Arabidopsis thaliana: one gene and its partners. The protein of the gene in region 1 purifies or fractionates together with the protein of each later gene. This does not show direct contact. Each region holds a gene or a part of one and is shown in the gene's direction. Other genes may lie near its edges. The genes, in order: GAMMA CAL1, MEE4, AT1G16700 and ATP3.

Region 1 (7,332 bases):
AGGAGAAACACTTTAGCCGATTAATGAGGATGGATGTAAGGCTTTCAGGATCTATAGGGTAAAGAAGACAAAACTTCAAAGGCTTTCAGAAGGGAGAACTCACGTAAATATCCCTCGAAGCTTGTCCTCGATTATCACGACTGCACAGCTTGATTGGAATTCAACCATCTTCTTTGCTACAGTCAACACTGTGTCAGTTGGTGAGACTTTCAAAACCCTGAACAAACAGCGGTGTTAAGTTAAAACAACAAAAGAGACAGGAAACACTCAATCAAGATTGTAAAAAGAATTTCATTAGAAAAATAAGAGATTACCTACTTTGTATCATCTGGTATAATTGTTGATAAAGAAGGTCTAAACATCCGGTCTCGTAGCGTTTCAATAAAAGTGTTGGGAACTACATGAAAAAATCAACATTTTGGACATTCAAAATAAGAAGCAAACAACAAATGAGATTGCAGCAGTTCCTCGCCTACCTGAAGTGTTTGTCCCCCAACTTTTTTCAACACCTTCAACAGCAGCAGCTATTGCCTTACCTTTCTCAGCAGCCCTCTCCATACGAGCAATTGCATCATACAAACACTTTGCTATATCTAATAAAGCAATAACTTCGCCATTTTCAACAACCGGCAAATGTCTGAATTTTCCTGCAGTAGGTAAGGTTAAGATATAGCCTCATTAAGGATCTAGACACAGCAATCAGATAAACATCAAGTTTCTCTAGCTTAAAAACAATGAGACAAACCTTGGACCATCTTTTGGAGAGCTTCAACAGCAAGTGTTTCTGAGAGAACAAACATTGGGTTCTTCGTCATAACCTTAGATACAGGTGTTTCCTCGACATTAAGTTCCTGTGAAATCACTCTTGTAGCTATGTCCTGAAAATCCAAAAAAGACACACATACACACAGATCAATGAAGTCTCCATTTCCTTCTTCCAATCTGTTTCTAACTTTTTAACTACACTTAGCGAATAGTGGCATACCTTATCAGTAAGAATACCACAAAGCATTTCATTAGAGTCAGTCAACAACAAGGCATCAACTCGTCGTGAAGCCATCCTTTTACAAGCTTCATATATAGTTGTTGTTGCTGGTACTGTAAGTGCTTTCGATAGCCTTAACCGTTTCACAGTCCGCTCGCCTCCTGTTAAACCCCTGCTCCATATACAGATGAGAGAAAAAAGTTAAAACCAAATCACAATAGCTTCAATGGAAAAGAAATAAGGTAAACCTGAGGAGCTAGATGTTCTCTATGAATTGAATACGAGCATAAACTAGGGTTTATATATAAGATTGAGACCCAGCTGAGACTTACAAAGGAGAACGAGAAACAGTAAGAGATCTCCGGCCAGTATCGAGACCTCGTTCGGCCATATCCATGGATTTCTTCTTTCCGTGCAATGACGCAGTCGTAACGGATAAGCTCCGTCTTGGCCCGCCTTGGCTAGCCATATCTACTGTATGATATAGAAAAAATCAAACCCTTGTAATCGTCAACGCTTACGAAATGATTACCAAAATTCGAATAAGGAAAGTTTTTCTGGAATCGAAACTAAACAAAACGCCAAAAAACAAACACTAATAAGAATCAGAAAACTCGTGAAATCAAAGCTATTACCAGGCGGATTCGTCGGGTCAACAAATGGATTCTGGGATTGAAAAAACTGAGCTACACCAAGTTGGGATTAGTTCCGTTTCGTAGATGCTCTCTTCTCTCCTTTCTCAAAATGTTCGTGAGACAGATAACGGCAAGAGAGAAAACGACGATTTGTGAGACGAGAAAGATTACAGAGATTCTCCCGGGAAAGTGACGGGAAAATGTAAGAAAATTAGAAAGCAAGAAATATTCTGTGATTTTTCTCTCTGAAAAACACGTTTTATTTTGCGATTTTCACCCAATCGGATTCTTTGATTTCGATGCTCTGTCGAATTGGACGATCGCTACCTTTTTTTTTTTTGGTCTTTGCTTTTTTTTTTGGGGGGGCAATATATTGATTTCTTATATCTGGTTATTGACACTTATATCCTCAATATTTGAGAACTATGACAAGTGGATCAAAGATTTGTTTCTCATTTGGCAAAGGGTTTTATCGTCATTAGCTATTTATGGTCATTATTACACACGAGTTGATACTTTTTCTGGATTTTATTTTTTATATGTTGATTATTGGATTTGCCTTTTACTCTTTCTTCTTAGCATTTGGATTTTTTTTTTTCCTTTTTTTTGGACAAATTGGATTTCGTCTAAGACAGAAAATTCAAACTGATTTTTTCTTAAAACAGGTTAATTTAATTAGGATATTAAAAGTTCTGTGTTCTATCTGGATAAAAACGTGTAGACTAAAAACAAAATGAAAATAAAATATCCATTCTGTCTCATTTTCAGTTTCTTACAATGTATTTAAGGATTTGTTCCATCCATGGTTGTGAAATCTGTGTGAACCAAAAAAAAAAAAAAAAACAGAAATTTTAATATTCAAACTTTATATTAATTGTTGAATATTTCAATGTTAAAAACAGTGAAATGAATCAATGTCACAACAGTTTTGACCAAAAGGAAAAAGAATTGGTGTCACAACAATTTTGACCAAAAAAAGAAAAGAATTGAGGTCACACTCACAACAATAGTCAATAACCAAAGCTACTTTAGCTTCATGGATATGGACCAAACATAAGTTATGAATTATAATACTGGGCCGAAAACTCAAAGCCCATATGTATAAGATTCACGTTGTTCGAAATCTTTTCCCACTAAACAATAATTTTATAATTAAACCTAAAGTATGTCCACGTGGATACCATCAATTGGTTCACCACAGCATTAGCTTTCACATCACACGAGAAGCTTCGTCTCTAACTAAAACCAAAAATACTCCAGCTCCTTCACCACTCTCTATTTCTCTCTCCAAATTCATTTCTTCTCTCTTTAAGACAAGAAGTTATGGCGGATTGGGGCCCAGTGTTGATCGCCGTGATCCTCTTCGTAGTTCTATCGCCGGGGCTTCTTTTCCAGATTCCGGCGGGAGGTCGAGTTGTCGAATTCGGTAATATGCAGACGAGTGGCGCTTCGATTCTCGTTCACGCCATCATTTTCTTTGGTCTCATCACTATCTTTACCATCGCCATAAACGTCCACATCTATTCCGGTTAACTGTTTAGCCAGACAAACCGGTGCTGCTTGGTTTTATTTCAATTTGATTGTAAGGTCTGGATTTGTTTTGTTTGTAACATTTTCGGATTTGTGAATATAATCAAAATTTCACCAAATGATACAACATCCAGTTTTGTTTTTGAATCTGGTATCAATCTGTAGAGTTTGTTTGGGATCTGGTTTAATTTGGTTTTCAAATGCTACTTGACACCTAATGTACATCCACCTAATAAGTGAAACGACGACGTTTTACTATTATTGGGCCTGTGGTCCGTTAAAAAGCCCAATATGCTGTATCTCGTTTAATTTCAGGTGAATCTTTCGACGACCACTCTCTCTCTTTTCCTCTTTGCAAATCCTTGAAGAAATCCAAAATCCATAGCAATGGCGACTTCGATAGCTCGATTGTCTCGGAGAGGAGTCACTTCTAACCTGATCCGTCGTTGCTTCGCTGCGGAAGCGGCGTTGGCGAGGAAGACAGAGTTACCTAAACCGCAATTCACGGTGTCGCCGTCGACGGATCGTGTGAAATGGGACTACAGAGGCCAACGACAGATCATTCCTTTGGGACAGTGGCTTCCGAAGGTAGCCGTTGATGCTTACGTGGCACCCAACGTTGTGCTGGCTGGTCAGGTCACAGTCTGGGACGGCTCGTCTGTTTGGAACGGTGCCGTTTTGCGCGGCGATCTCAACAAAATCACTGTTGGATTCTGCTCGAATGTACAGGAACGGTGTGTTGTTCATGCCGCCTGGTCTTCCCCAACAGGTTATTGCTTCCTTCCTTCCATTTTCAAAAAAAATTGTGTTCTGATTATCCAATTTTTTGTATGGAATCAAGACAATGTTGATTGGGATTTAGGGGTTTTCATTGTCCATTTTCAGTTATGAAAAGCTTATTGAAGAGTCGAGAACTTATATGGACAATTAAGTAAATTGGTTCTGCATAATAGTGTTCTCTCGAGTACAGATTTTCTTGCTTGAAGAATCGTCCAGTGAACTGTGGCTGTGGCTATTGTTCTTACTCTTTTGAGCATAATGAGTTTTAACTTCGCCGATTATGTGTGTGGAAACGTGTTGTTCTTTAGGTGATTAGCATTACAGGAATCAAGAAACTAACTGAAGATTGAGCTTAATATTGAGAGTTGAATAGATTAGCGTAGTACCACACACGATCATCTTGTGTAGTAGTAGGAAGTTTCTTAGCAGAAATTTGGGAACAATGTCTCGATAAAAGGATTTTGGTTTTTTTAATGACTTATGCAAGGATTTGGTTTTCTGGTCACTCGTGACTGGAAGTGGGATGCAATGGTGATAAAGCTGTATCACATGGATGTGAACTTGTTTTTGCTCCAAGGTTTAGACAAGGGAAGTTTTCAAGTAAAAACATTTGAAGAGTGACCATTCTGGTTTGATAGGGTCTGCTGAATTTTATTTGACCCGGAACAGTATCTATTCAACTTGTCACATTGATGAAACTATTTGTTTATCTTTCAAGGCTAAATTTATATCTTGGTTCTTTTTTTACATCACAAATTTGATTCTGGGGTATCTATTTTAAAATTTCAGGATTACCAGCAGCGACAATAATCGACAGGTATGTGACAGTAGGTGCCTACAGTCTTCTGAGATCATGTACCATCGAACCAGAGTGCATCATCGGTCAACACTCAATACTAATGGAAGGCTCACTGGTTGAGACCCGGTCAATCTTGGAAGCGGGTTCAGTTGTGCCGCCAGGAAGAAGGATCCCATCAGGTGAACTATGGGGAGGCAATCCAGCAAGATTCATTAGAACCCTAACCAACGAAGAAACCCTAGAGATCCCAAAACTCGCTGTAGCCATCAACCACTTAAGCGGAGATTACTTCTCTGAGTTCCTACCTTACTCAACTGTCTACTTAGAGGTAGAGAAGTTCAAGAAGTCCCTTGGGATCGCCGTTTAGAAGCTTCATCTTTTTCGTGATTCACTTTCATGTGTTTATCTATCATATGAGGTCTTTCTCTCTGCATATTGCAATAAGTAGCTGATGAACATCAAAACAAGTCCGGCTCTCTTTTTTGGTTCTAAAACGTTTGTCATTTCGTTTTTTGGGTTCTTTGTAAAATTCCATTTAAAACTGATTTTGGCTGAATATTGTCTGAATGATAATGGCGACGACTTCTGGTTTTGTTGTTGTGAGCAATTAAACAAAACAAATAACTAAACTAAATGGTTTTTCGTTATTTGGGATCACTAAAAGGAACATTGTGTAGAAGAATTAATTATACAGGACTTGTGACGTTTTATTTGACAGAATGAAGAACGTAGGTCAAACTAAAATTATGTAATGGAATTTACTCAATATGGGTTACATTTTGAAAATCTTTAAAATTCTTCCGTTGCTTGTAGGTTATAAACATATAACTCATGTCTAATTAATTCGTAAATCAACACCCTTTTGTTCTCACTCTATAAATTCAAAGTTCCTGCACATAACCAAATCATCAAAGTGAAAAGAAGCAAGAAAAATAAGAAAGAGATAAGATTAATAAGAGATGGAAAGCAAAGCAAGAGTTATTGCCTCCTTAGTCCTAGTTGTAGTTAACTTATCATTCTCTTAATAAGCATAAAACAAACAGACACCTTAATATTAAGATGTATACGAGACAATAAGATATACCGAACTATAAACGTGAAGAAATCTTTGGATGCTCACTTCTTTCTTTTCCTCTCCCTCCTCCAAGATTAAGCTGCGTCCGATTTCACCATCGCAGAATATACCGCCAAACGGTAACTCCGGGAAGTTCTCTAAAAACGGTGAGCTGTCTGCGTTTGGACAACCAAAGAAGGAATCACCGCGACAGCTACCGACGAAAGCAAAACCTCCAACGACTTCCGGTTTATTCGGCTTAGACTTGAGATTTCTAAGTTGAGCAGAAACATCATTTAGTGCTGCTTCAGCCACTTTGAGATCAGGGAGGTATACTTGGAATTGGTCGCCGGTTTTGATTCCGGCACCATCAACTAAAAGATCCTGATCGTCAGATCTGAGTAAGCAAACCAAAAAAAAAAAAACTTAGATGGGTCAAAAGGGACAGATTCATGTTATGATACTTGTTGATCCGATCGTTACCCATTCACTTGATGAAATACAAGGGAGGACATGATTTTTGGCTTCTCCTCCAAACCAATTGAGTATTTTCTACGTTTTATTACTCCGAGGTATGAATCATTCTCCCAGATATAGTTTTCTAGCTGCAAATTTCAAGTCAGTTAAGTAACCAAACTGATTTCAGGATTAGATAAAAGATTGGCTTCAGATGCTTACAATATTATCTATGTCATCTAGAATTTGATCGCCATCAAGAACCTCTGCTTCTCCTCTTCTTTTGGCAGTCAGAAGCGTCGAAGGACAACTAGGGCCGAGGCTAACATTGACATTAGCCGCCTTGTACCTCAGATCAACCGATGACATTCCATTTGATATTGCAGTGTCAAACTGAATTCTTTCAGCCTCTGCTTCATTTAGTTCAACAAGTTGAGTAAAATGAAAAGAAGAGATTTTAATCGGAAACACATAACCAGCACAACATGAAAGAACGATGCTGAAATATTTAACCTAGCATAGTAAAGATAAAGTGTGTCTCTCGATGTACTGTAGTTTTTTAAGAAACTAATATTAAAACCACGGAAACTTACGAGCAGGTCTGTGTCTATCTCTTGCAAATATTAAGCCAGCGAGAACTCTGATATCATCTTTCTGCAACTGAACATTTCTTGGTTCATTACCACGTTTATGTAAAAACTCGCCAATTTGACCACCCACAATAACAGTCTCAGCAGGCATGGCATAATCTGCAATGCAAACAAGCTTCATTAACAAGTTTTCAGGCACCGTAATTTCTATATATTACCAAAATGGTAGTTATGTTTTTCAGATTCTAGCCAGAGCAAAATAAGTGAAAATAAGAGGTAGGCAACCTAGACAACCAACCAACAAAATAAAAATGTTTCAAGAAATATTTGTTTTGTCTTAATAGATTTTTTCACTTGTCACGAAGTAACATTGAAAAGATGTACCATAAGGCAGTACTCATACCCAGTTTGTGAAGAACAGGTTCTGTGGCATGAGTATCCTCCTACAAATTCACCAATGAAGCATGAATAGACAAGAAAATAGTCATAAAACTGAATATAGT
Region 2 (6,809 bases), on another chromosome or scaffold:
AGTTTCTATTGTTTGCTTCTTCTTCTTTCTTTTATTTGGTTCGGGTTATGGGGGCCTCCCACCGTTCTGGCGCGCTACGGTTGTCACGATGACAAACTTGATTGGCGGTCCACCTCTTACCATACATTGCAAATCCAAGCAAGACGATCTAGGAATTCACGTGGTGCCTTTCAAGCAAGAGTACCACTTCAAGTTTCAACCAAATCTTTGGAAATCAACATTGTTCTTTTGCAGTTTCCAATGGGACAGTCAATTCAAGTCGTTTGATATATATGATGCTCAGAGAGATCAAGGTATATGTGATGACTGTCAGTGGGAAATAAAACCTGATGGTCCATGCAGGCTCGGTAAAAAGGCGAAATGTTTTCCTTGGAAGTAAGTTTGTACTCCTGCGATGATGAAGATATATATATATATATATATATATATTCAAATTCAATAAAATCAATAAACAGAATATTTATGCATTTCTTACTATTTAAAGATTTGTTTCTTAAAGATACTCATTGACATCGGAATGCTTAGAGTAAGAAACAAACATATTTTGGTAGACACAAAACCGGAGTAAACCGAGAATTATTCGTTATCTTCACTGGTTTTCTCTCTTAAGGTTTGTTGTTGCATACTCTTCTCACTAAGGATGTCAAAATGGTTAACCCAATTCAACACAACTCATTACCAATGAGTTTAGGCTTCATGGGTTGACCCAACTCATTTTGTTAAATAGGAAAAGCAATTCAAACAGTTTGAGATATTTGATGCTTTCAGAGATCAAGATGTATGTTATCTATGTAATTGGACTGTCAAAGCTGATGGTGCTTGCAGGCTTGGTAAAGAGCATAAATGTTTTCCTTAGAAATACTTTCATATGACTGATTTTAATGAAAATTTGAGAATGAATAAGACAATATCAGAAATCCACATCACGTCAAAAAATAATAACATTTTTTGTAGACAATAAATCAAAACCGGATCAAACCGGATTATTCTTTATCTTGGGTGTCCAAAATGAGTGAAGGATCTTCCTTCCAGACAACATCATCATAAGAAAACGCTTTGGCTAAACAAGAAACCAACTGTTCATGAATCACTTCTTCTGAAGGAAGCAGAGTATCCGTCTCTCTTCGCAAAGATGTAACTTCTTTATCAGCAATCCCACAAGGCACAATGTGCTCAAAGTACTTCATATCAGGATCTATATTTAAGGCCAAACCATGACTAGTGATTCCAGAAGATATCCTAACCCCAATAGCACCGATCTTCCTATCCCCAACCCAAACCCCAGTCTCACATTTGTTTCCTGCTCGAGCTTTCACGCCATAAATCGAAGCAAACTCGATCATTGACCGCTCCAATGTCTCCACGTAGTTCCTAGCACCAAAACCAATGCTGCGTAAGGAAATGATGGGATATAAGATGGCTTGATGAGGGCCATGGAAGGTGATGTCTCCTCCTCTTTGAGTATAATGAAGTTCAGCTCCGATTTTTGTAAGTTCAGATTCAGGGATAAGTAGATTGTGATCGGTTCTACGCTTTCCGAGCGTATAAGTTGGTGGATGCTGAAGCGAGAGGAGGGTATCTGGAATCTGATGAGCTTTTCTCTCTGAAACTAATTTCTCCTGCAGTTTAAGGGATTTCAAATAGTTGACAGTGCCTAGCTTCCAAACCTCCAAGGTTCTAGGGGATCTCATTTCCTGCACATTAACACAGACTCCATAATTGATCACTTTATCTCTAACTACTTAGGTTATATAGGAAGATTCCAAACACGACCTTTTTTTCCACACAAACTTAATACTACTGATGGGGGTCTAAAAGCATGACTAACACAACAAAAAATTTCCAAAGGCAGCAAACCTAAAATTAGGAATAAAAATCTGAGGAGCTAGGATACAAACCCTATGAATAGTTTTTGGTACCAGGTCTTTGAGGTATTTTATCGAACACTTAACATGCATACACAAAGAAAAAGACACGGAGGATTACCGTAACCGATAAAAACCCATATAAATGATCGTATACATGGTACAAGAGCAAGTAATCGGTAAAGTAAGAGGCTTTGAAGAGCTAGATTACCGTTTCAGTTCTTCTCCTCCACCGAAGAGTTTGGACCTCAGAGATAGGTTCTCTCCAGATTAGAAATTTTGGATTTATTAAAAGCTTCAAAATTCAACGACTTTGCACTTGTACCCTTAAGTTTTCAATTTTCACAGAATTACGCCTTATCTAGAACATATCTCAACAATTCACACCCTCTTATTTTAATTCCAACATATAAAAACCCAGTGATTCAAATCGCAAACAATCTTTTCAGGGAATGATGCTGTTTCTTATCCCTTTGTATTTCAGAATTAAGAAAAATACAAAGATTGTACAATTTCAAAACTTAGGGGTCAAATTCGAAGGAAAAAAGGTCTAGAAAAGTTTCAGTTTTCCAATAGTTTGATCTTCTCAAGAGAAGTATTCATCTGCCTAATCTCCTCTTCAGACAAGCTTTTGCTACACTGCTCAAACTTCTCCTTGTCGCACTTCAAGGCTGTGTCTCTACACGCTCTGATGCAACCGCTAATATCGAGCAAGTTTAAGATCACCGGACAGTTTCCGATGCTTTTGACCAATGTGATTGCTAACCAAACTTGTCTGTGTTCTTCTCTTGATGATCTTACAATGCATAGCTTCGTGATTGGATTCACATATTTCACTTGGAAGGAACCGAGAGACGAACCTAGACCACACTCGCCGAAATTGACGAGGATACTGTCTTTGATTGCTTTCGAGAGATTGAATTGTGTAAGAATGATCGGTGTTCCTTCTCCGAGAAGATCCTTGTCCGGATCCAGAAAAACTTCCATTAACATGTATCTGTTCTTAAATCCCACCATGCTTCTTCGAATCTCCTCGATTTGATGATACCAAGTCGGCGGCTAAAGATATTCTGAACATGTAGTTAGGGCATTTTATATGTAAGAAGAAGAAGAAGATAATCACGTGACTCCACGTGACTTGCTTACTTATGGACTTGGGTCTTTGAACATATCTGAAATGGGCTTAGTTATAGCCCATTTCATCTCATACGACTCCGTGATTTGCTAACTAATGGGCTTAGTTATATGGTCCTAGCCTAGTTAATCTCCAACGTTCCCTTCGTTGTTCATCGGAATCCCTAGAACACTCGATTTCAGCAAAATCAAATCGGATTCAGTGATCAAAAGTCAATTTGGTCGAGAAGAAATTGAGCGTTGAAGATGACGGAGGCGATGATAAGAAATAAGCCAGGAATGGCGAGTGTGAAGGATATGCCGCTGCTTCAGGATGGTCCGCCACCGGGTGGGTTCGCACCGGTCCGATATGCCCGCCGGATATCCAATACGGGTCCTAGTGCAATGGCCATGTTCCTTGCCGTTTCTGGTGCCTTTGCTTGGGGAATGTACCAGGTCGGCCAGGGAAACAAAATCCGCAGGTAAGAACGACTTGTAATAGCTCGTTCACATTTCAATTTTTCCTCTAAAATTCGAGATCGCCTTGGTAAAATTAGTGTTGTGGAGTGATTGATGACCATAGTAATGTAGTGAAGGATACATTTTGGTTAATAATTGTTGAAACTTGAGTATGTTTATCGTAGGAATTGGTTAATATTATTAACCTATGGAAACATAGGCTTGTTGAATCACTGTTATGTATTCTGTTATTAGTATTCCCCGACATTTTGGTTGAAGCTTAATCAGCATGAGTTTAGCCTTAAACGAATATAAAGTTCGTCAACAATTTGTAAACTCTTAAAGCCACAATTGCAAAGATGTGAGAATCTGTTATGATGAAAGCAATTATCTAGTTGCATGTTTTGATAGTAGTTATCGGGATACTGTTTCTATGTAGATAGATTGTTTTAGTATTATATCTGGCTTGATCATTAACTTCTTATGCATTTACAATGGTCCTAAACAAGTCTGATTTGATATCAGTAAGTATCAAGATTAATGCTCTTATCAAGATTGATGTGATGTTTAGGGCATTGAAGGAAGAGAAATATGCTGCTCGTAGAACAATACTTCCCATTCTTCAAGCAGAAGAAGATGAAAGGTAAACCATATTCTCAAATTTAAGTCAATGTGCCTGCAGCAACCTTCAGATAGCAATCTTGTTTCAATCCCCGTTTTGCATTCTAGGTTTGTGTCTGAGTGGAAAAAGTATCTGGAATATGAGGCTGATGTAATGAAAGATGTTCCGGGATGGAAAGTTGGCGAGAATGTGTACAATTCTGGTCGCTGGATGCCTCCGGCTACTGGGGAACTCCGTCCTGATGTGTGGTGATTTCCTAGTTTCTCTCAAATGCATATGATGATGATGAATGATGTTTCGCTGAGGATTGATATGTTCTTGTTATATCTTTTTTTCTTCGGGTAATAAGAGAATGATTCAACAGACAGTATTCTTCTTGTATTGGTTTTCTCTTAAGTGTTTCAATCGTAATATGAGGCAAAAACAGTTTCATGATTCATCAGCAAGCTGCAAGAAATTGGCTTATTTGACAGCTCCAGGTGAAAAATATTCGAAAAAGCTTACCGAGTGAAATCGAACCAAATCATATATAATTATATGTGAATTTAATATCCAAAACAATAAAATTTTGAAAACAAGAGTTCTTGAAAATGAAAAAAAGAGTAAAACCTTTTCAGAAAATAAATAAAATTAAATGCTAAATATAGTACATGAAAATGAGAAAAATATGTTAGATTTGTGAAATCGTTAATGACCATGGTTAAATGGCGGGATCCAAAATCCGGTTAGATTTCACAACGTCATATTAATTTAGTATTTATAAAATCTTTTAAAAAAAAGAAAAAGGAAAAAAAAAGAGAGTTGAAAACATTTTTAAAAAAATAAAATAAAAATAATTAAATGCTAAATATACATGAAGATGTGAAAAACATGTTGGATTTGTGGAATCGCTAATGACCACGGTTAAATGGCGGGATCCAAAATCTGGTTAGATTTCACAACGTTATATTAATTTAGTATTTATTAAAACTTTTAAAAAAATCAAAAAAAATTTGAAAAACTTTTAAGAAAAGAAAACAAAAAATAAATGCTAAATATACATGAAGATGTGAAAAATATGTTGGATTTATGGAATCGCTAATGACCACGGTTAAATGGCGGGATCAAAAATCCGGTTAGATTTCACAACGTCATATTAATTTAGTATTTATAAAAAACCTTTAAAAAATTATTTATTTAAATGTTTTAGTGAAAGTTTTAGTTTTGGTTAAAATAATTTTTAAAGAAAAGAAGAAAAAAAGTTAGAATGAAGAAAGTCCTAGTGTAACGAAGGCCTCATACAGCAAAGCCCATTCCAAAGTCCTAGTGTAGCTCTGTCGTAACATTATCCACCAATTTTAGGTCAATTTTGTAAAACTAAACTACAAGATCATTCCATGGGAAGCTTCTCTCCGATATGCAAGACAAGACGCCAAAGAATGGCAAGATGCAGAAGAGTACACCCACCGTTTATCATCAAAACCTGACAGAGTAACGTCACAAGAACCAACAGCTAATCTCTGGACAACACCCCCTATTGGTTGGACGAAATGCAACTATGACGGCACTTACCACAGCAACGCTCCGAGTAAAGCGGGTTGGCTCTTACGGGATGATCGAGGAACCTTTCTAGGTGCAGCTCATGCTATAGGCTCTATTACTACCAATCCGATGGAAAGTGAACTCCAAGCTTTAGTCATGGCCATGCAACATTGTTGGAGTAGGGGCTATAGGAAAATTTACTTTGAAGGTGACAATAAAGAAGTCTCAGAGATTGTCAATGGTCGGTCTTCAAATTTTGCAGTTTTTAATTGGATAAGAGATATAAGCGCTTGGAGATCAAAATTTGAAGAATGCAAGTTTACTTGGACAAGGCGATTTTCAAACATGGCTGCAGATGCTCTGGCAAAACAACAACTTCCTTTGAACACTCAGTTTTATTGCTATAACTATATCCCGTTTGTAATAACTGATTTTTTACATCGCGACTTTGCTACAGCAAATTATTAATAAAGCTGATGTTTGAGGAAAAAAAAAAAAACTACAAGATCAAACCCTAGTTCCTCCGATGAAATTGCGGTTAGAAAACTAAATATTGATTGACCTAATTCAAAGAGACCTTTTTTGTGCAGAAACTAAATATTAAAAATCCAAGGTTCCAAGAGATCAAATAGGAATTTAAGCGAGAAGCAACATACCTGAGTCTCGTGACAACGGCGCGTGGTTTGCGTCAATACTTGGGACTCTCGGTGAGATCCGCCATGATTTGCTAGAGAGATCGTGAAACGCAAGAAAACAGAGAGACAAACGGTGGCGAGATCATTGATGGTGTGATCACCGAGTTACAGTTCCGACGGTTCTGACGGTGGTGAAAATGGATGGTGATCATCGAGCTTTGACGTTCTCGTGATCGGTGAGTTCTTTTTGTAAGAGAGGAACAGAAACAAACAGAGGCTAAAAAGACAAAAGAAGAAGAAGAAGGTGGATTTTTTGTTTTCTTCTCGTAATCCATGCTTTGGACCTTGTATCAGCCACTTATGATCATTTGCTATATTGATGCTTTCCAATTTTAGAGTATTGAAATGGGTTTCTTTGACAATCATTTTGAGTTAGTCATCATTCCTTGTTCTGAATCAAGAATTGGCTTTTGTTATGTTGTCTAGGTTCTGCTTGTAACTAGAGTAATGCTATTGTAGTCTCTGTTGTTTATTTGTAGAATCATAGAGAGTCGTGGAAGCATGTTTTAGTTGTTACTCTCGATTTCTTGTCGA
Region 3 (7,898 bases), on another chromosome or scaffold:
CTTCCAATTTTAAAGTCTTTTAAAGACTTTGAAGACGAAGATAATCCTTCTTCCATTACTAGAAACTCTCAGTTGCTGCGTATATCTGCCGTAGAGGTTGTTGACAATGAGGTGAAGTTTTTTTTTTTTTTCTCGGTGTATCGGTTTGGATGTGAAGTTGTAGAGTGATGATTAAAAGTTTCTTGTATTCACATTATCAGGTGCAGCCTCCAGTGCCTAGTAAGAAACTGATTTCGGAAATCCCAACACCTCAGTATCTTGTTGTTGATACATATGAAAGAGACTACTCTAGGACTTTTAATCAGCCTGCTTCATATTTACGCGCTAGAGGAGGTAAACCTTTAATACCTGAAATGCTCTTCAACATTTGTTATCTTTTCAACATGGGAAATGAAAATCTGTTTTGCAGCTCGGGCTGAGCTTGGAGAATTTGTGGAGTATGATCTTGACAATGACGATGATGACTGGCTTTATGAGTATAATAAGGAGACAATGATTCTCTCACCTGAAATGTAAAGTTTCCTACCTCTTATTCAGATTTTGTTAATTGTTTGTTTATAACATGCTTTCCATATTTTTAACCATTGAGATAGTTTATATTATCCACATTTCTATGAGCTTTGTTGTGTGGTAGATGGATCTATTAGCTCTAGAATCTAAATTTTTCTTCTGTCTCTCCTCTGGTGCCTTCAATTTATTTTGGATTTTGCCAATAGTGCAAAAACTATGTGATCAAGTGGAAACTGAAAGAAGAATTGGTTCTATACTTATATCCGATATTCCCCTAACATTGAGTTGAGATAGTGCTCAACTTTTCTCTTGTTTCAAAACAAAAACCTGCTACCCGTAATCATGCTTAATTACTTGATACAGGCTTGAGATCGTTATATTTAAACTAGAGGTCTTGGATCATAAGGCGCGGGAAAGAGCTGGAGTTATTACTCCTACCCTTGGTTTGCCAGTTCCAGTGCTTTTGCAGCCTGATGCTGCTGGTGAGGTATACACTTATTTTCTTTTGTTTATCTAATTTTGATTTATATTTGGTTATGGAACTCAAAAGGAGGAATAAAATGATGATGGTTGATTGGCTAGTTCTCATCATAGTGAACCATCTTTTAACGGGGACAGTTTTCCAAAGGATGTGATTATACTTTTCCTCACTGCCTAAAACTGTAGCAGGAGCCAGGAGCATAGATCTAGTAATAGTGATTATATTGCCTCCTCTAGAGGAATGTGTTCTCCTGGGGTTATTACTCAGAGGCAGAGCAGGACATTTACATTGTTCTTATTGTGCTATTTCCATTTTTTTTACAGGCGCTGAAATATTTGTCCATCAAATATGGAGTTTTCCACGCTATATACAGTTATTGGAAAAATAAGGTTTGATATAGTTGTCGTATAGTTTGATGATAATTGATTTTTTTTTTTTTAATGAAAAGTTGTTAATGGTTCTTTGGGCATAGGCTTAAAACATTAAGTAACTTCGACTTTTGTATTCTTTTAGCGTGAAATATGGCAGAAGCCTATCTTGCGGCGTTTACAGGTATATCATTTGGACTGGTCTCAATCTTACATGTGGAAGAAATGAATTTATTCTGAAATGTACTGAAAATTAGCTACTCTTGTGTTTTTTGTTTGGAACAGCCTCCACCACCGGTCAATGATACCAATCCGTACAATGTGTTTAGGCCACGGGAGAAAGCTCATAGACTACACGCAAGAAGAGTAGGCTGTCTTGTTGTCTGTGGTTTATCAATTTCCTTATCTTACATGTGTGAGTATGGAAAATGCACCATAACTTACTAACAATAGTTGACCTCACTTCAGATGCAGCAGAGAGAAAACAATGCGCAGTCATTTGAGAAGCTGCGACAGGTAAGGGAAGACCTGAATCTGTGTTTAACTTCTTAAAATAATTCCTGGATTCTCAAACGTTCTTCTCTTCTGTTCTGGGATATGTTATTATTAGGTCAGGCGCAATCTTGACCAAGCAAAGACCATTCTAGAAGCTCTTATTAAGGTAATCTAAATGACATCTATATTTTGTGACTTGAATGTAATTTTATTGATATCTTAAGAGATACCTGCAGACTCCATAGGTATTAACTTGATTAAAAACATGTTATCTTTATAGAGAGAAGAGAAAAAGAGGGATTTCATGGCGAGTGAGGTTAGCCTTCAGAGAATCCAACTGAAATATAAGGTAGTCCTCTACAACCTGCATCGAGTGTTCTTTTGTTACCAGAAAGAGTTGTGCATTTCGATCTCCTCTGATTTTTTTTGTGGGGTTTTGATATGTTTGCAGAATGAAACCGAACTTTTGGAAGATAGTTTGGCTCTGGCTGGGTTTCCACTCTCTACAGCTTACAGATTTGGCTCAAGCGAAGATGAATTCATGGACTCCGATGACCCGACCACCACCCAAACATGTACAAGGCCTTCCTTTACCCCTCATCGTCGTTTCACCGACTCAAACCTCGCTCGAGCTCAAGCCGGGAGCATAAAGCAAGAGGCGAGAAGACTTGGATGGCTCCACAAACTGGTAATTCTTCAGAACCTCTGTATTTGAAACATTTGAGACTATTAGGTTACTACATTCTGGTGACAAGATAAAAAAGAGAGAATTACGTTCACTGTTTATGTTGTTTCTGTGTAGAATCCTAATGAGCCAGTTATGCTGTTCACGAAAGCATTGGTCCCCGATAAACTGGCTGCTGCGGGAATCATCCCTCCATCAGATGCAAGAAGTGGAAGAGCTCGGTTTCAAGGAAGAATGGGTAGAGGCGGTCGGATTGTATTTGATAGATGGAATCCTCTAAACCAAGCCCACATTAACTGTGGCAACACTCTCTACATAGCACCATAACATCTCAACTAGTTTTCTTCTTCTTCATTGTAAAGAGTTATCCCCGTTAGTTCCTCCCCAGTGGTGGTGAAGATTGTCACCAAAACACTTTGTATCTCCTCTAAATTTTGTGTAGTCTTTGGTTTTCCCGGTTTATTGATCAATCTCGGCTACTTTGTGAACTTTAGGTCCGGTTAGTGACCATTGATCAGGTATTAACTTTTTTCAGCAATGGTCTAGTTTGGTCCACGTCTTGAGAACCTGGATCCTGAAATGTGTGAAACTTGGAAGGAATTGACTGTCATACCAAATATAACCGGTTTGATTGCCCGGTTATGAGCTGAGTAAGTAGTTAACCAGAAGGGTCAATTTGTAAATTAAGAGACATCTGATCGAATTTTGTTCCGACGACCGTGAATCACCAGCAAAGGATTCGTGTCAATGTTCTTGTGAGATCGAACTTTCTCTGGGTTCGTGCAGAAGCTTTGCTTTTTTGAGTATCGCGTTTAAGGTTCGGATGGAATTTTAGGCTTTTCGTTGGTCATTCTCTTGTTCAATGCTTCTTTTGCTTGATTAAGCTTTTCAGCTAATCGGATTTTCTTCTCTCACATCAGGCACATCGAAGAAGAGAGACCCTAATTTGATATTTTGAGTTCTATCGATGGCTTCGCTACTAGCTCGCAGGTCGTTCAGTGCTCTCCGAGCTCGACATCTCGTAAGAATCTCGTAGGCTCTTCCATTTTATATCGCTTATATTCCTAGAAATTTGGAATTGCTGCTAAGTTTTTTGAAATCACTAGTTGGTATTGTCTGCCCCGGCCGGCTCTAGGCATGTGCAAGTGGTGCTGCTATACATGTTTTTGTCTTTTTTTTTCCTGGGTATTGTTCCTCTATGCATCTCTTTGTATTGCGTTGGTACATCAATCGTGAAGCTTCATTTTTCCTTTAGATCATATACTCTTCCTTGAAGAGAGAATGTATCGCCTAAATGTTGTTATCTCAATCTCTGCAAATATAAATACTTTAACTGAGAGCGTCGTGGTAGTTAACTTTTACTTTCAATAGCTCTTTTGGTGGCTATGCTATGGAATTCTTCTCGCATTTAACATCTACCTTGTCTTTGTTGATAGGCTTTTTCAGGGCAAGGTTTACAGGGATCTCATCTCTGTGGGCTACAGTCCCGTGCTATATCTTATGGAAGCAACAAAGGTATAAATTTTGTTGCTTCCATTTGGGTTCTCTTGGTTAATTTAGGCTATGACTTTTCAGGAATATAGGTTACTAATCCTTTGCCTCTGGTAATATGTAGATGATGAAGAAGCTGAGCAGCTTGCTAAAGAGATCTCCAAGGACTGGAGTACTGGTAAGCTATTTGATCCAGACACTTTTCAACCTTTCTATTCTCTTAGCATTCCTTCCTGATTACTTCCTTCTGCGAGTCTTAGCGATTCCTGATGTTTCTTACTTTTACAGTCTTTGAACGGAGCATGAACACCCTATTTCTCACTGAAATGGTCAGGGGTTTGTCACTGACCCTCAAGTACTTCTTTGATCCAAAAGTTACAGTGAGTGGCTGTCTCCCTTGACTCTAGTAATTAGGCTGAAAGAAAAATATTCTGATTCTCAAGTTTTATCTTTTGTGCAGATCAATTATCCTTTTGAGAAGGGTCCATTGAGCCCTCGTTTCCGTGGTGAACACGCTCTTCGAAGGTATCCAACTGGGGAAGAACGCTGCATTGCCTGCAAACTCTGCGAAGCTGTGAGTTTTTGAAGTCTATGCTACTCGAGAATTCATACCACAGCACAATATTGACATAAAGTGTGATTTTTCATGGATACTGGTCTTTTGCTCATCAGGTATGTCCAGCTCAAGCAATCACAATAGAGGCAGAGGAGCGGGAAGATGGAAGCCGCAGAACCACTAGGTCACCCTCTAAGTTCCCGTTTATTAACCATATATATATTATTTAATACTGTCTTGTCTCTATGGTTCTTCTATATATTTCGTAGTGTAGTGATTGTTCGGAGCTGTACAGGTATGATATCGACATGACGAAATGCATCTATTGTGGTTTCTGCCAAGAAGCTTGCCCTGTTGATGCAATCGTGGAAGGACCAAACTTTGAGTTTGCAACCGAGACACATGAGGTCTGTATAAACAATTCAGAAAGACATAAGATTGCCCATGATCTTAAAGTTAGATGTGTATTATTCGATAAATGACATTCTGATTCTTTTTGGTGTGCAGGAACTTCTGTATGACAAAGAGAAGCTTCTTGAGAATGGAGATAGGTGGGAGACAGAGATTGCAGAGAATCTGAGGTCGGAGAGCCTCTACCGCTGAATATTGATCCGAAAATGCCTTTTGCCTAATTCTTAAGGAAACGTTTTCGTTTGCTTCTGTTACAAATAAAGATGCTTCAGCCTTTGCACTGTTATTGCTATCTGTATTTCTTGAGTTCATACCGATGGCAAAATCAAATTTGGCTTTGTTTCCGGTTTGAGCTGGACCGTGCGGTAAATGGATTATGATATGATTCAATGGTGTTGTTACTCTCAGTGTCGGTCGGTCAAGTGTCTAACAAAAAATTGCTAATATCTGAAGAGAACATTAATGATGTAAAATACAGAGAAATACAAGGGTAAAATGGTAGTTTAATAGACTGGCATGAACATGCATAATTGCATATCTAGTAAAAACCTCTGATTGGCAGAAACTCCAGCTCAGGAACTTACTCTATTTGGAATTTCGTCTTAAATTCGCTTTCTCATCTTCTTTTACTTCTCGGTTTCAAGATCTCTTTCAGAGATTTCTCATTTTACTTATCCTCCTGGCTTGCGTGAGTTTAGACGTGCGACATTGTTTCTTCATCGTAATCATAGGTTACGTTTTCTTGATCTCGTAAGGAAGAATCTTCCTCACTAGGCTCTGATCTTTGCGGTGGAAGATTGCTTCTTTCTTTGTGTATCAAATTTTAAAGTTGGATTGAAGTCCTAGGTTTTATCATCTGAGGTTTAGATGTATCTTCTTTCTTTGCTTATGCTTGGTTTTACTACTGATTATGATTATGCTGGTTAATTGGTGTTGCTTTAGGGATTTCACGTTACACTTGCTCCCATGGACAATGATGTTTTCCAGATTCGCCGGTCCATGCGAGACGCTATGTAAGCCTTCAATTTTTCACATTCACTCGTTCCTCTTGCACTCTTTTCCTTTTCTCTGTTAGTTGCTGCTGTACTACGGATTGAGTTAATGTGTCTGGGAAAGTGGGAATGATCTAACTTATTACTGCTTTTTGGCTCTGTGATCATGTATTTCTGCTTTGTTTCTTAAGAAACAATATCATCTATTAGTGTTTCTACTACTGAAATGTTACTTATTTGGATTCCAGTCTTGTCACATTGGTGTTCATAGTTGTTTTCCTCTCTGCGTGTATATCTCCGAACCACACTAGAGGGTTTCTTGATGGGTTGTTACCTCATTTGAGGAAACGTTTCAAATTAACTGATCATCCAATCTTTCCAGCTTCGTCCAGTTAGAGAAGCGAAACCCACTTCCGAATGATGATGCATCAAAGGGGAAGCATTTAGATGCTGCTAAACGCTTAGAGGAAGGACTTTTTAAAATGGCTATGACAAAGGTACATCAATTATATTTACTTGATTAGTTATAAGCATTTAGGATTTGATTTACTGAGAATTTCTAAGTTCTAACTAAACAAGACTGGTTGATGCCTTCTGACATGTTGTCACTGAATCCAGCTTGTTTGCTATATGTCCTCCCTTATAAATATTTTCGTTTCTGACACTTTTAACTTCAAAACTCACAGGAGGAATACTTGAACCCGTCAACTCTTGAATCTCGCTTGACAAGCTTAATAAAAGGCAGGCAATTGAATAAGTACAAGCACCAACATGCTGATTCTTCTACGCTTGGAACAACCATAACACCTACTCCAGGAGTCTCTGCTGAACCCACAATGGTACATTACATACATCGAATTATTCACGAGCTTTAATTAAGAGGCGTATAATTCGAAATGTAATATTATAAACATTCTGAACTTTGTGATGTTCCAAATTTTTTTGGTTTGGAGCAGGATAATGAGAACAGAGATCAGTGCGAGACAGAGATTGCTGAGAATCTGAAGTCAGTGAGCCTTGAGCCATGAAGATTATCAGAAAGTTCTTTTTACGACTTGTTTGGAAACGTTTTCATTGCTTATGTTACAAGGAAAAGATGATAACATATACAATACTAACGCTTCTGCCTTCTCCATTGCTACTGTATTGCTAATTGTAAGATCTAAAGTAGGAATGGTAAAACCGGTTATGATTTGTTTCCGGTTAGACTTGGAACATGTATGAATTTGAATGGTTTATTATTAGTTACTCTTGGTAATCGGTACAGAAAAAAAAGTAGTTGCGAAAGTAAACAGAGCAAAAACTACAAGGGTGTGAAGATTTAAATTACTGGAACATTTGATCGGACGGATAGGAGCGCATGTATCTCCGACACTTCTCCTTGGCTGTTGGATTGTCGACCTTGGTTCCCCCAATTAACTTTGACAGAGGTTCCTTGATGATTCGTATTCAGACATAAGTAACATAAGGTAAGTGTTATTTAATGTGTCTTTTGTTACTTACAAAATCAAAACCAAAAATCCCTAAATAGCCAAAAAAAATAAATCAAAATCCCCAAATCGAAGAATTCAGACTTCTCTGATTTCGAAATAATTTGTCGATATTTCAATTTCCTCGTCGTCTAGGTTTTGGAGGAATCTCGTTCTGGGATTTGTCTACGTACTTGTGTTTGATCCTATTTTTTATCCTGGCTTGTGTGAGTTCACACGTGCGACATCGGCTGTTCAGCGACTTTATTGCTCCGTTCTACTTCGTTTTCAAGATTCGATCATCGTAATCTTTAGTAACGTTTTTGGGGAAGATTTTTTTTGCTGGGTTTTGCTCTTTGCGGCTGAAGTTTGTTTCTTTGTGAGTCAATTTCAAGGTTATTGCTCCTCCTGTTGTCTGTTTCGTAATTGTTTACAATTTT
Region 4 (7,986 bases), on another chromosome or scaffold:
AACCAAGAGTTACAGAAACTAGTCAACTTCTTTCTTACATCAGGTAACAACAACATATCCACATACTATTATTTTCATATCACTTCTTCTTCTACAGTATCCTTATTATTAAAACTGTCCCATCTTGAATCCAGATTCATAAACAATCTAACTGGATCTACTTGCTTGCCCTTAGCTGGACCAAGTATCTTGACAAACCACTTCGGCTTGAATGAAGCAATAACGTGTGCCATTACCAATCCAAGTAACAGTCCAGGCCAATACCCGAAAAACACTGCTTTCCACTCAATCACTTCGTCCTCTTCTTCTTCTTCGTCTTCTTCCTTGGGATATTTTGTTGGTGGCGCAACGCAACTTCCTTGGAGAGGAAGACCACAGAGACCTACATTCCCTTCAAATGATGATTCAGCTTGCCCACTAAACTGTGGTCCCTGTGGTATTTCACCTTTGAGTTGGTTATGAGCTACACTTATGTACGCCAGAAATGAGAGGCTCCCGAGTTCTCTTGGAATATTCCCTGATAGTTGATTTCTTGACAGGTCTAGTGACTCGAGCTCCGTAACATTTGCCAAAGACATAGGAATATGGCCAGTGAAGGCGTTGTTCGATAAGTTGAGCGCTATCAATTCCTTCAACAGACCAATAGACTCAGGAATCTGTCCTTCAAGTTTGTTTCCAGAGAAATCAATGGTGCTGTAGAAAGTAAGGACTTTCCCCTGCTCCATGAATAGACCTTTGTATTGCAAATCCATTGTATCTTCATAGATATAATAAGCATTCTTGTAGTCTCCCATATAAATACGCCCATCTTCATTTATCTTGGGTGATGATGCTTTCCAGTTAACAAAGAAATTTGGTGGCAAGCTTCCAGTAAAGCTGTTATCTGACAATTCAAGTATCCGCAGCTCGGGAAACGCGAGAGGACCTCGATCAGGAGGAGAGAGATGGCCGAAGAATCTGTTTGAACGGAGAGTCAAGACATGCAAATTGGGTAGCGCCTTCAGCCAGAAAGGAAACGTGTCTTCAATTCTGTTGTTGTCAACACTCAGAAACCTCAGAGAGGAGCAATTCAAAAGTGATTTTGGAAGCTTCCCGGTTAGTCGATTATAGCCAACGTCAAGCGTCTGTGTCTTAGCACCGCTATGGAACTCGTCAGGTATACTTCCTTCCAAGCTGTTCTTCCTGAGGTTTACTACTTTTAAGTTACTCAGACATTGAGGAATTGGACCGGTGAATTTGTTGTAGGATAGATCAAGGACGATGAGAGAGCTTCGGTTGCAGATTGAGAGAGGTATGTTCCCTGTGAAACTATTGTTCCACGCAGACAAGTAGATCGAACCGAGTGGTGGAGTAGGAAACGCTCCTGTCATGGAGTTATAGGCAAAATCTAGTAACTGCACTGATGAGTTAAGTAAAACTTCTGAAGAACCTTCGAAACCAGTCAAAGAATTGTTAACAAGATTTGCTATGCTAAGACGAGGAAGCTTCCAAAACCACTCAGGTACTTTCCCTTTGATTAGATTGTTGGAAATGTCTATATGCTCCAAGTTTTGAAGGGTCTTAAAGATGTTTGGAAACTCGATAATGTCGCACTGGATCAAAATCAAGCTTATTAAGCTCAATGGAAACTCTGAATCTGAACTTAAACTGGCTGGTAATAACCTATTTTGACGAATATCAAAGACCAACAAAGATTTGAGAGGAGCGAAGACGCGTAAGTCAATTGGGTGACTTATGTTTAGGGAAGCAAGTTCAAGATGGTTGAGGTTTATGAGCTTTGAGATAGGCTCTATGATTTTTCCTTCAAATTGGTTAAACCCAAGGGACAAACGAACTAGCTTAGATGAAGAAGAAGAGTTTGGGACATCAATAGAACCAGTGAGATGATTCTTTTTCAGATCAAGATAAGACAAGAAAGGCAAAGTGGGTAGTAAATCAAAAGGTATGGCTCCTGAGAATTGATTGTAAGAAAGGTCTAAAAAGGAAAGCTTTGTTAGGTTTCTTACAGGTGGGAAACTACCAGTGAGCTCATTATGGGAAAGGTTTAAATGGGTAAGCAAGATAAGGTTACTAATTGAGGAAGGAACTTGACCAGTAAAGCTACTAGAGGCAAGAGACAAAACCTCTAATCTGGTGAGATTGCTGAATTCAGAAGGGAGTGAAGAGGAAGTGAAGTTGTTGTGAGAGAGATTAAGGTAACGAAGCTGATGCAACTCAAAGAGACTACTGTTTGGTTTGAGAGTTCCAGTGAAGCAACCACTTGGGAGCTGAAGCTTCGTGACCGCACCAGTCGTGTTATCACACTGGACTCCGTTTAAGTAGTCACTGCGGTTGCAGCCGTCAGATTCAAACTCATTCTTGAATTGGATTAGAGCTTGGATCTGGTCAGGAAGACAAGCAAGAGCGTCGGTCGTCAAGAAGCTTGAAACGAAGACGATACAGTAGAGTAAGAGTAGCGAGCAAAAATGCAAACGCATGGTGTTTGTGATTGAACCAACAAGTTGAGGAAATTATTGAACCCAAAAAAAGACATATCAAAGATTTGCTATATATATGTTATTTTAAGCCGCCTTTACTAAATATGTGGGGTTTAAATGTCACGTGAAATGTCTACGAGTCACATTTGTTCATGAAGTAAATTCCACGTGGACATCTCTGACTATATAACTGGGAGTTATAGTTGACTGTTAAAATTGGCTTCAAAATTTAGCAACAAGAGGAAATCAACACTCAGCAATTTACTCTCATTGGATCAAATGAACGCACATTAATATGACGTAACGATGATGACAATTCTGTTTAATAGTATCTTATTGTTTACAGATACAGAAAAATAAATTAAGTGGGCCTTTCAATAATTAATAGGTTGGTGAAATGTTACCTTCTCTTGATATTTTTTTAATTTTCATTTATTATGAGTATGTTGCGTTATGAAACAACTCGCATTAATTTGGTTATAGATTGGAGAAAGAAGAAGTCATGGTCAAAACTCAAAAATGTAAAAGGAAACAAGACGTGTATGACGACGTGATTGATAATCTGAGGAGATACCTTTGGGCCTTATAAGATGGGCCGAAAAAGTAATAGTATTAGCCTCTATTCGGCCCGATTAATTTCAGGGGAAATTTTGGTAATAAAGTGGAAACGACGTCGTGACAAAACTACTGTGTAGACTGAGAAATAAAGAAGCCCTTGATTTTGCCCATTGCAGTCATCTCTCTCGAATCTCTCTCTATAATCCGATCTGAGAAATTTCGCCGGAGCTAGGTTTTGTTGTTTACCGATCAATCCTTTAATCAATGGCAATGGCTGTTTTCCGTCGCGAAGGGAGGCGTCTCCTCCCTTCAATCGCCGCTCGCCCAATCGCTGCTATCCGATCTCCTCTCTCTTCTGACCAGTGAGATCTCTTTCTCATTCATCTTATCCTTGCGTATAAACACACATTTCGCTGTTCCTCTGTGATGCTTTTCTGAATTTGAAATCGTTTGATTTAATTGAGTCGTTGATGTTTTCATTTCCTTGAAATTCGAATCGACGAAAATTTATGGAAATTGTGTTGTTTGACTCGGGAGCTGCTAATGAGTGAGGTGTTTTTGTTCGTCTATTTGGAGTTTTGAGACTCGGAAATGTCCTGTTAAGCTCGTTTCGTTGAATTTCCTATTGCAAGACCAATTTGATTTTCCTCGTAGAAGAGACTTTGTGATATGTTGTCTAAGCTCGTCAGATTTAATCAGCTTTTACCTGCAAAACTTTGTGATATTTAGGATGATGAGGACTAAACTTGTATTTGATTTGTAGGGAGGAAGGACTTCTTGGAGTTCGATCTATCTCAACTCAAGTGGGTAAGTCAAAGCTGATAATTGGAGATTGGTTTTACCTAGTTAGGATTGTGTTCTAAGAAATCTGTGATGTTCTAATCTTTATGAATTGCTTTACATGTATTCTCTGTGCAGTGCGTAACCGCATGAAGAGTGTTAAGAACATCCAAAAGATCACAAAGGCAATGAAGATGGTTGCTGCTTCCAAGCTTAGAGCAGTTCAAGGCCGAGCTGAGAACTCCCGTGGACTTTGGCAGCCATTTACTGCACTTCTAGGAGATAATCCCAGTATGGTTGGCTATATAGAGTTGTTTTTCTTAATAACTTTGTTCTAGTATCACTCCGGGCTTGCATCGGTATTGAATATTGATGACGACGAACAAATCTGTTGCTCTTACTATAGTCTGAGATATCCATCCTCTTGCTATCTCTTGTTGTTATTGTGGATGTGTTTCTGATTTCTAGCGTTACTTGATGGAAAAACCAGGCATTGATGTAAAGAAGAGTGTGGTGGTCACTCTCTCTTCTGACAAGGGTCTCTGTGGTGGAATCAACTCCACTGTCGTTAAAGTGAGCAGGGCTCTGTACAAATTGAATGCTGGTATGTTTGAAAACACTACGATGGTTCCGTGGTTTAGTTTTCCTGAATTGCATATCCGATATTAATTCTTATATCATTGCAGGTCCTGAAAAGGAAGTTCAGTTTGTTATTGTCGGAGAGAAAGCAAAGGCTATAATGTTTCGTGACTCAAAGAACGACATTGTCCTCTCTGTAACAGAGCTGAATAAGAACCCACTCAATTATGCTCAGGTAGTTCTTAGTTGCTAATAGTTAGGAGCAATAGTTTCTCTCCCCGATCCATTTGTTCTCGAGCTATTTATTGTTGTCTATAGTGTTTCTTATGTTTACTTGCTGCTTCAGGTGTCAGTTCTAGCTGATGACATCCTGAAGAACGTTGAATTTGATGCTTTGCGCATTGTCTACAACAAGTTCCATTCAGTTGTCGCATTTCTGCCAACTGTGTCCACTGTTTTGTCACCTGAGGTAAGTCATAACTGTTGAACGTCTCAATTTGTGCTTAATATTTCACATTCTGCTTTAAGTATAAACTTGATTGTATATGTGTGTGTTTTGCATTGAAAGATTATTGAGAAGGAGTCTGAAATTGGAGGAAAACTTGGCGAGCTTGACTCATATGAGATTGAAGGTGGGGAAACAAAGGGAGAAATATTGCAGAATCTGGCCGAGTTCCAATTCTCTTGTGTAAGTAACCAAGAAAGTTTAACTTGATTTATGGTATTTCAGCATAGAAAGAAACATAACATTTTGGTTGTTTACGTAAATTCTACTAGGTGATGTTCAATGCGGTTCTGGAGAATGCATGTAGTGAGATGGGAGCAAGAATGTCTGCCATGGACAGCTCAAGCAGAAACGCAGGAGAAATGCTCGACCGTCTCACCCTCACATACAACAGGACTCGTCAAGCTTCTATTACAACAGAGCTTATTGAGATTATCTCTGGAGCTTCTGCTCTTGAAGCTGCTAAATAAGCCCATCCGTGTTAGTTCTCTTTTCTTCGCTTTGATATTTACCCCCACCTTGAAGGAGAAGAGTGTGTTAAAATTTTACTGAATCAGTTTCCTTTGCTGGCTTCTTGTTGAGACCTACCAATGTTTGCTCAACGATTTTTAATAAACATACCTGTAATTTCCAGCAGGATTTCGAATAATTGCATTAACATTTTGTTCTGATTCAGACTCGCTTCCTCCAGAGTCTGTAGTGTTGTTTTGTGCAAACACCATGTACTCCGGTTTATTTGATATTTTTTTACCTGAGCCAATATTTTGTCACTTCGCCAGGTTTTGAAGTTTGAAACTTTGAATAATCCCACAAACAAATCTAAACAATATATCCAATGCAGTGTATGTTGTCATGCTAGTGGATTTCTAGAATTTTGGAATTATGTATAAACAATCTGATGTTAGAAAGTTTAAACTGATGTGAATCCAATCATGTGAAACAAATTTTATGGCTCAATATCTCCTCTTGATCGAGGTCCACTAGGGTATCCAGAGCTGCGGATATTTGAGATATCTGGTAATAAATTTACCGGAGGCTTGCCACCAAATTATTATGAGAATTGGAAAGCATCATCACTCACGCTAAAATCAAGAAGGGGGTTTATATATGATATACACTAAGAATGCTTACGGTAGCATTTCTTATACCTATCAAGATTTTATAGATTTAAGATACAAAGGTCTACACATGGAGCAAAAGAGGATTCTTACTTTATACAGCGCTATTGATTTTTCCGGAAACAGACTTGAAGGACAGATTCCTGAATCCATTGGTCTCTTGAAGGCACTGATTGCACTCAACTTATCAAACAACGCTTTCATAGGTAATATTCCCATGTCTATGGCCAATCTTATTGAGCTTGAATCATTAGACATGTCTAGAAACGGACTATCTGGGACTATTCCTCAAGGACTCAAGACCCTCTCGTTTTTGGGGTACATAAATGTGTCCCATAACCAACTCAAGGGTGAAATACCACAAGGAACACAAATCACTGGGCCACCAAAATCCTCATTTGAAGGGAATGCAGGGCTTTGTGGTCTTCCTCTCGAAGAAAGTTGCTTCGGAACGAAAGTGCCACCAATACAACAGTCAAAGAAAGAAGACAACCAAGAGGATGCAAAAGTGTTGAACTGGAAAGCAGTGGCAACAGGGTATGGACCTGGAGTTTTTTTTGGATTGGCAATAGCGCAAATCATTGCTTCATACAAACCGGAGTGGCTCGTCAAGATAATTGGTCCTAATAAGCGTAGAAACCATTAAGATTTGTTAGTGTTTGATTTTTGAATGTATGTCAAATTGTTACTTGTTTTGCGTATGATATTTGAATGTTTGTCAAGTATTCCTTGGTCTTGTGGTGAAGCAGGTTCTCTATGCTTCATTCAGCTTTCCTCTGTATCTTGGAAGAGAAAAATACTAGAGGCCGGGAACGGGAATCACGTTATGGATTTTTTGGTCTCTGACAATAAAAAGTAGAAAATCCAAACTCTTGTTATTGTTATCCCACAGGAGGAAATCCGTTCTTGTTATTTTCATCATTGGATTCTATTTCCGTGTAAAAGTAACTTTTTCCCCTAAAAACAAGCTTCTCTATTTTGTAAACAAAAAAATAAAGAAACAGAGGAAGGAGACGAGAGGGAGAAACAGAGCAACATATGAGATCTGTTTCCTAATGAATAAAATGCATGAGAGAGAGGGACCGAGACTGAGACTGAAGTGTGGCGGTGAGATCATACGGAGCGTAAAAAAAAAACAAGAAAAAGATAGATGTTCCCTTTTCTGTGTTTTCTTGGATCCCAAGTAAATTTTTGATTTCGTTCACACTCTAAGTTCAAATGGATTGAAAACTACGTGTGTTCGTCGCTAGATTCAGTTTTTTTAGACTAGACAATTCTTCTTCTTCTTCTTCTTTCTTTTTGGATTCTTAAGTTCCGACAAAAAAAAAAACTAGTCAATCTCGTTTTCCACACACTGAACCTGGTCCCTAGACCCTAGGCACATATATATTCCTCTAATCAAATATTTCAACGTTAACGAAATTATGTTCAGACCAGGAGAATGTACTACTAATAGACATAAACTCTTTGTGATCTGTTCATAATTGGGTTTGTTTAGAATAAATATTTCCTCTTATTCGTCAGAGTAGATAACACATTTTCCACGACGTCCTTGTCGTTTAGGATTTGATTTCGGACCTTTTGACTCCAAGAAAACATGTCCCATGCGTTGGACAAAAAATAGTGACATGCACATGCATTTGGTATTCAGACTTTATGATTCATTTCCCACTCAAAGACTTCACTTAGCTCTAACTTCTTCTAAGTCAACTTGTAGCTCCAAAGCAAAACCACATACCGTTTATTTATACCAATCTTCTCTCTCACTTTCCTTAAACCATAATCATTTAATTTTCCTAAAATAGTTCTCATCATGAAGACCGTGTTTAAATCGCTTCTGCTTTTGCATTTTCTCTTGCTACTCTTACTCTGTTTTGTCTCCCCTTCGAGCTTTTTCCTTCTAAAAGTTCCGGTTGGTGGTCTTGTTGCTTGTCGTCTCCGCCAGAGTCAAGCCTTTATGCAGTTCAAG

The links.
Region 2: the proteins of GAMMA CAL1 (region 1) and MEE4 fractionate together in Arabidopsis thaliana (co-fractionation; one large-scale study listed by BioGRID). This does not show direct contact.
Region 3: the proteins of GAMMA CAL1 (region 1) and AT1G16700 fractionate together in Arabidopsis thaliana (co-fractionation; one large-scale study listed by BioGRID). This does not show direct contact.
Region 4: the proteins of GAMMA CAL1 (region 1) and ATP3 fractionate together in Arabidopsis thaliana (co-fractionation; one large-scale study listed by BioGRID). This does not show direct contact.

The regions. Positions count from the first base shown.
Region 1 is NC_003076.8:25,420,517-25,427,848, forward strand, and holds GAMMA CAL1 (gamma carbonic anhydrase like 1), read left to right. Parts: upstream 1-3,450; 5' UTR 3,451-3,537; coding exon 3,538-3,919; intron 3,920-4,449; coding exon 4,450-4,530; intron 4,531-4,719; coding exon 4,720-5,096; 3' UTR 5,097-5,355; downstream 5,356-7,332. Other genes in the region: AT5G63490 (CBS / octicosapeptide/Phox/Bemp1 (PB1) domains-containing protein), read right to left, coding at 104-217, 319-397, 477-647, 746-878, 986-1,157, 1,318-1,454; AT5G63500 (transmembrane protein, putative (DUF 3339)), read left to right, coding at 2,944-3,153; AT5G63520 (F-box/LRR protein), read right to left, coding at 5,784-6,180, 6,267-6,388, 6,462-6,649, 6,833-6,988, 7,233-7,272. UniProt on the Arabidopsis thaliana protein: Involved in complex I assembly in mitochondria and respiration.
Region 2 is NC_003070.9:1,287,423-1,294,231, reverse strand, and holds MEE4 (GRIM-19 protein), read left to right. Parts: upstream 1-3,119; 5' UTR 3,120-3,245; coding exon 3,246-3,460; intron 3,461-4,008; coding exon 4,009-4,080; intron 4,081-4,166; coding exon 4,167-4,311; 3' UTR 4,312-4,411; downstream 4,412-6,809. Other genes in the region: AT1G04645 (Plant self-incompatibility protein S1 family), read left to right, coding at 1-379; LIP2 (lipoyltransferase 2), read right to left, coding at 984-1,691; EMB1687 (ribonuclease P family protein / Rpp14 family protein), read right to left, coding at 2,427-2,882; AT1G04625 (Polynucleotidyl transferase, ribonuclease H-like superfamily protein), read left to right, coding at 4,412-4,538, 5,444-6,000, 6,312-6,401.
Region 3 is NC_003070.9:5,706,506-5,714,403, forward strand, and holds AT1G16700 (Alpha-helical ferredoxin), read left to right. Parts: upstream 1-3,118; 5' UTR 3,119-3,356; intron 3,357-3,459; 5' UTR 3,460-3,506; coding exon 3,507-3,560; intron 3,561-3,975; coding exon 3,976-4,054; intron 4,055-4,154; coding exon 4,155-4,208; intron 4,209-4,318; coding exon 4,319-4,410; intron 4,411-4,490; coding exon 4,491-4,604; intron 4,605-4,702; coding exon 4,703-4,770; intron 4,771-4,881; coding exon 4,882-4,993; intron 4,994-5,093; coding exon 5,094-5,189; 3' UTR 5,190-5,538; downstream 5,539-7,898. Other genes in the region: AT1G16690 (Enhancer of polycomb-like transcription factor protein), read left to right, coding at 1-111, 201-333, 410-512, 874-997, 1,315-1,380, 1,505-1,543, 1,645-1,725, 1,828-1,875 and 4 more; AT1G16705 (p300/CBP acetyltransferase-related protein-like protein), read left to right, coding at 5,964-6,010, 6,372-6,486, 6,676-6,828, 6,943-7,017. UniProt on the Arabidopsis thaliana protein: Core subunit of the mitochondrial membrane respiratory chain NADH dehydrogenase (Complex I) that is believed to belong to the minimal assembly required for catalysis. Complex I functions in the transfer of electrons from NADH to the respiratory chain.
Region 4 is NC_003071.7:14,016,361-14,024,346, reverse strand, and holds ATP3 (gamma subunit of Mt ATP synthase), read left to right. Parts: upstream 1-3,161; 5' UTR 3,162-3,299; coding exon 3,300-3,397; intron 3,398-3,798; coding exon 3,799-3,842; intron 3,843-3,953; coding exon 3,954-4,106; intron 4,107-4,305; coding exon 4,306-4,419; intron 4,420-4,501; coding exon 4,502-4,629; intron 4,630-4,740; coding exon 4,741-4,863; intron 4,864-4,962; coding exon 4,963-5,082; intron 5,083-5,171; coding exon 5,172-5,369; 3' UTR 5,370-5,737; downstream 5,738-7,986. Other genes in the region: RLP26 (receptor like protein 26), read right to left, coding at 75-2,477; RLP25 (receptor like protein 25), read left to right, coding at 6,007-6,663; RLP24 (receptor like protein 24), read left to right, coding at 7,831-7,986.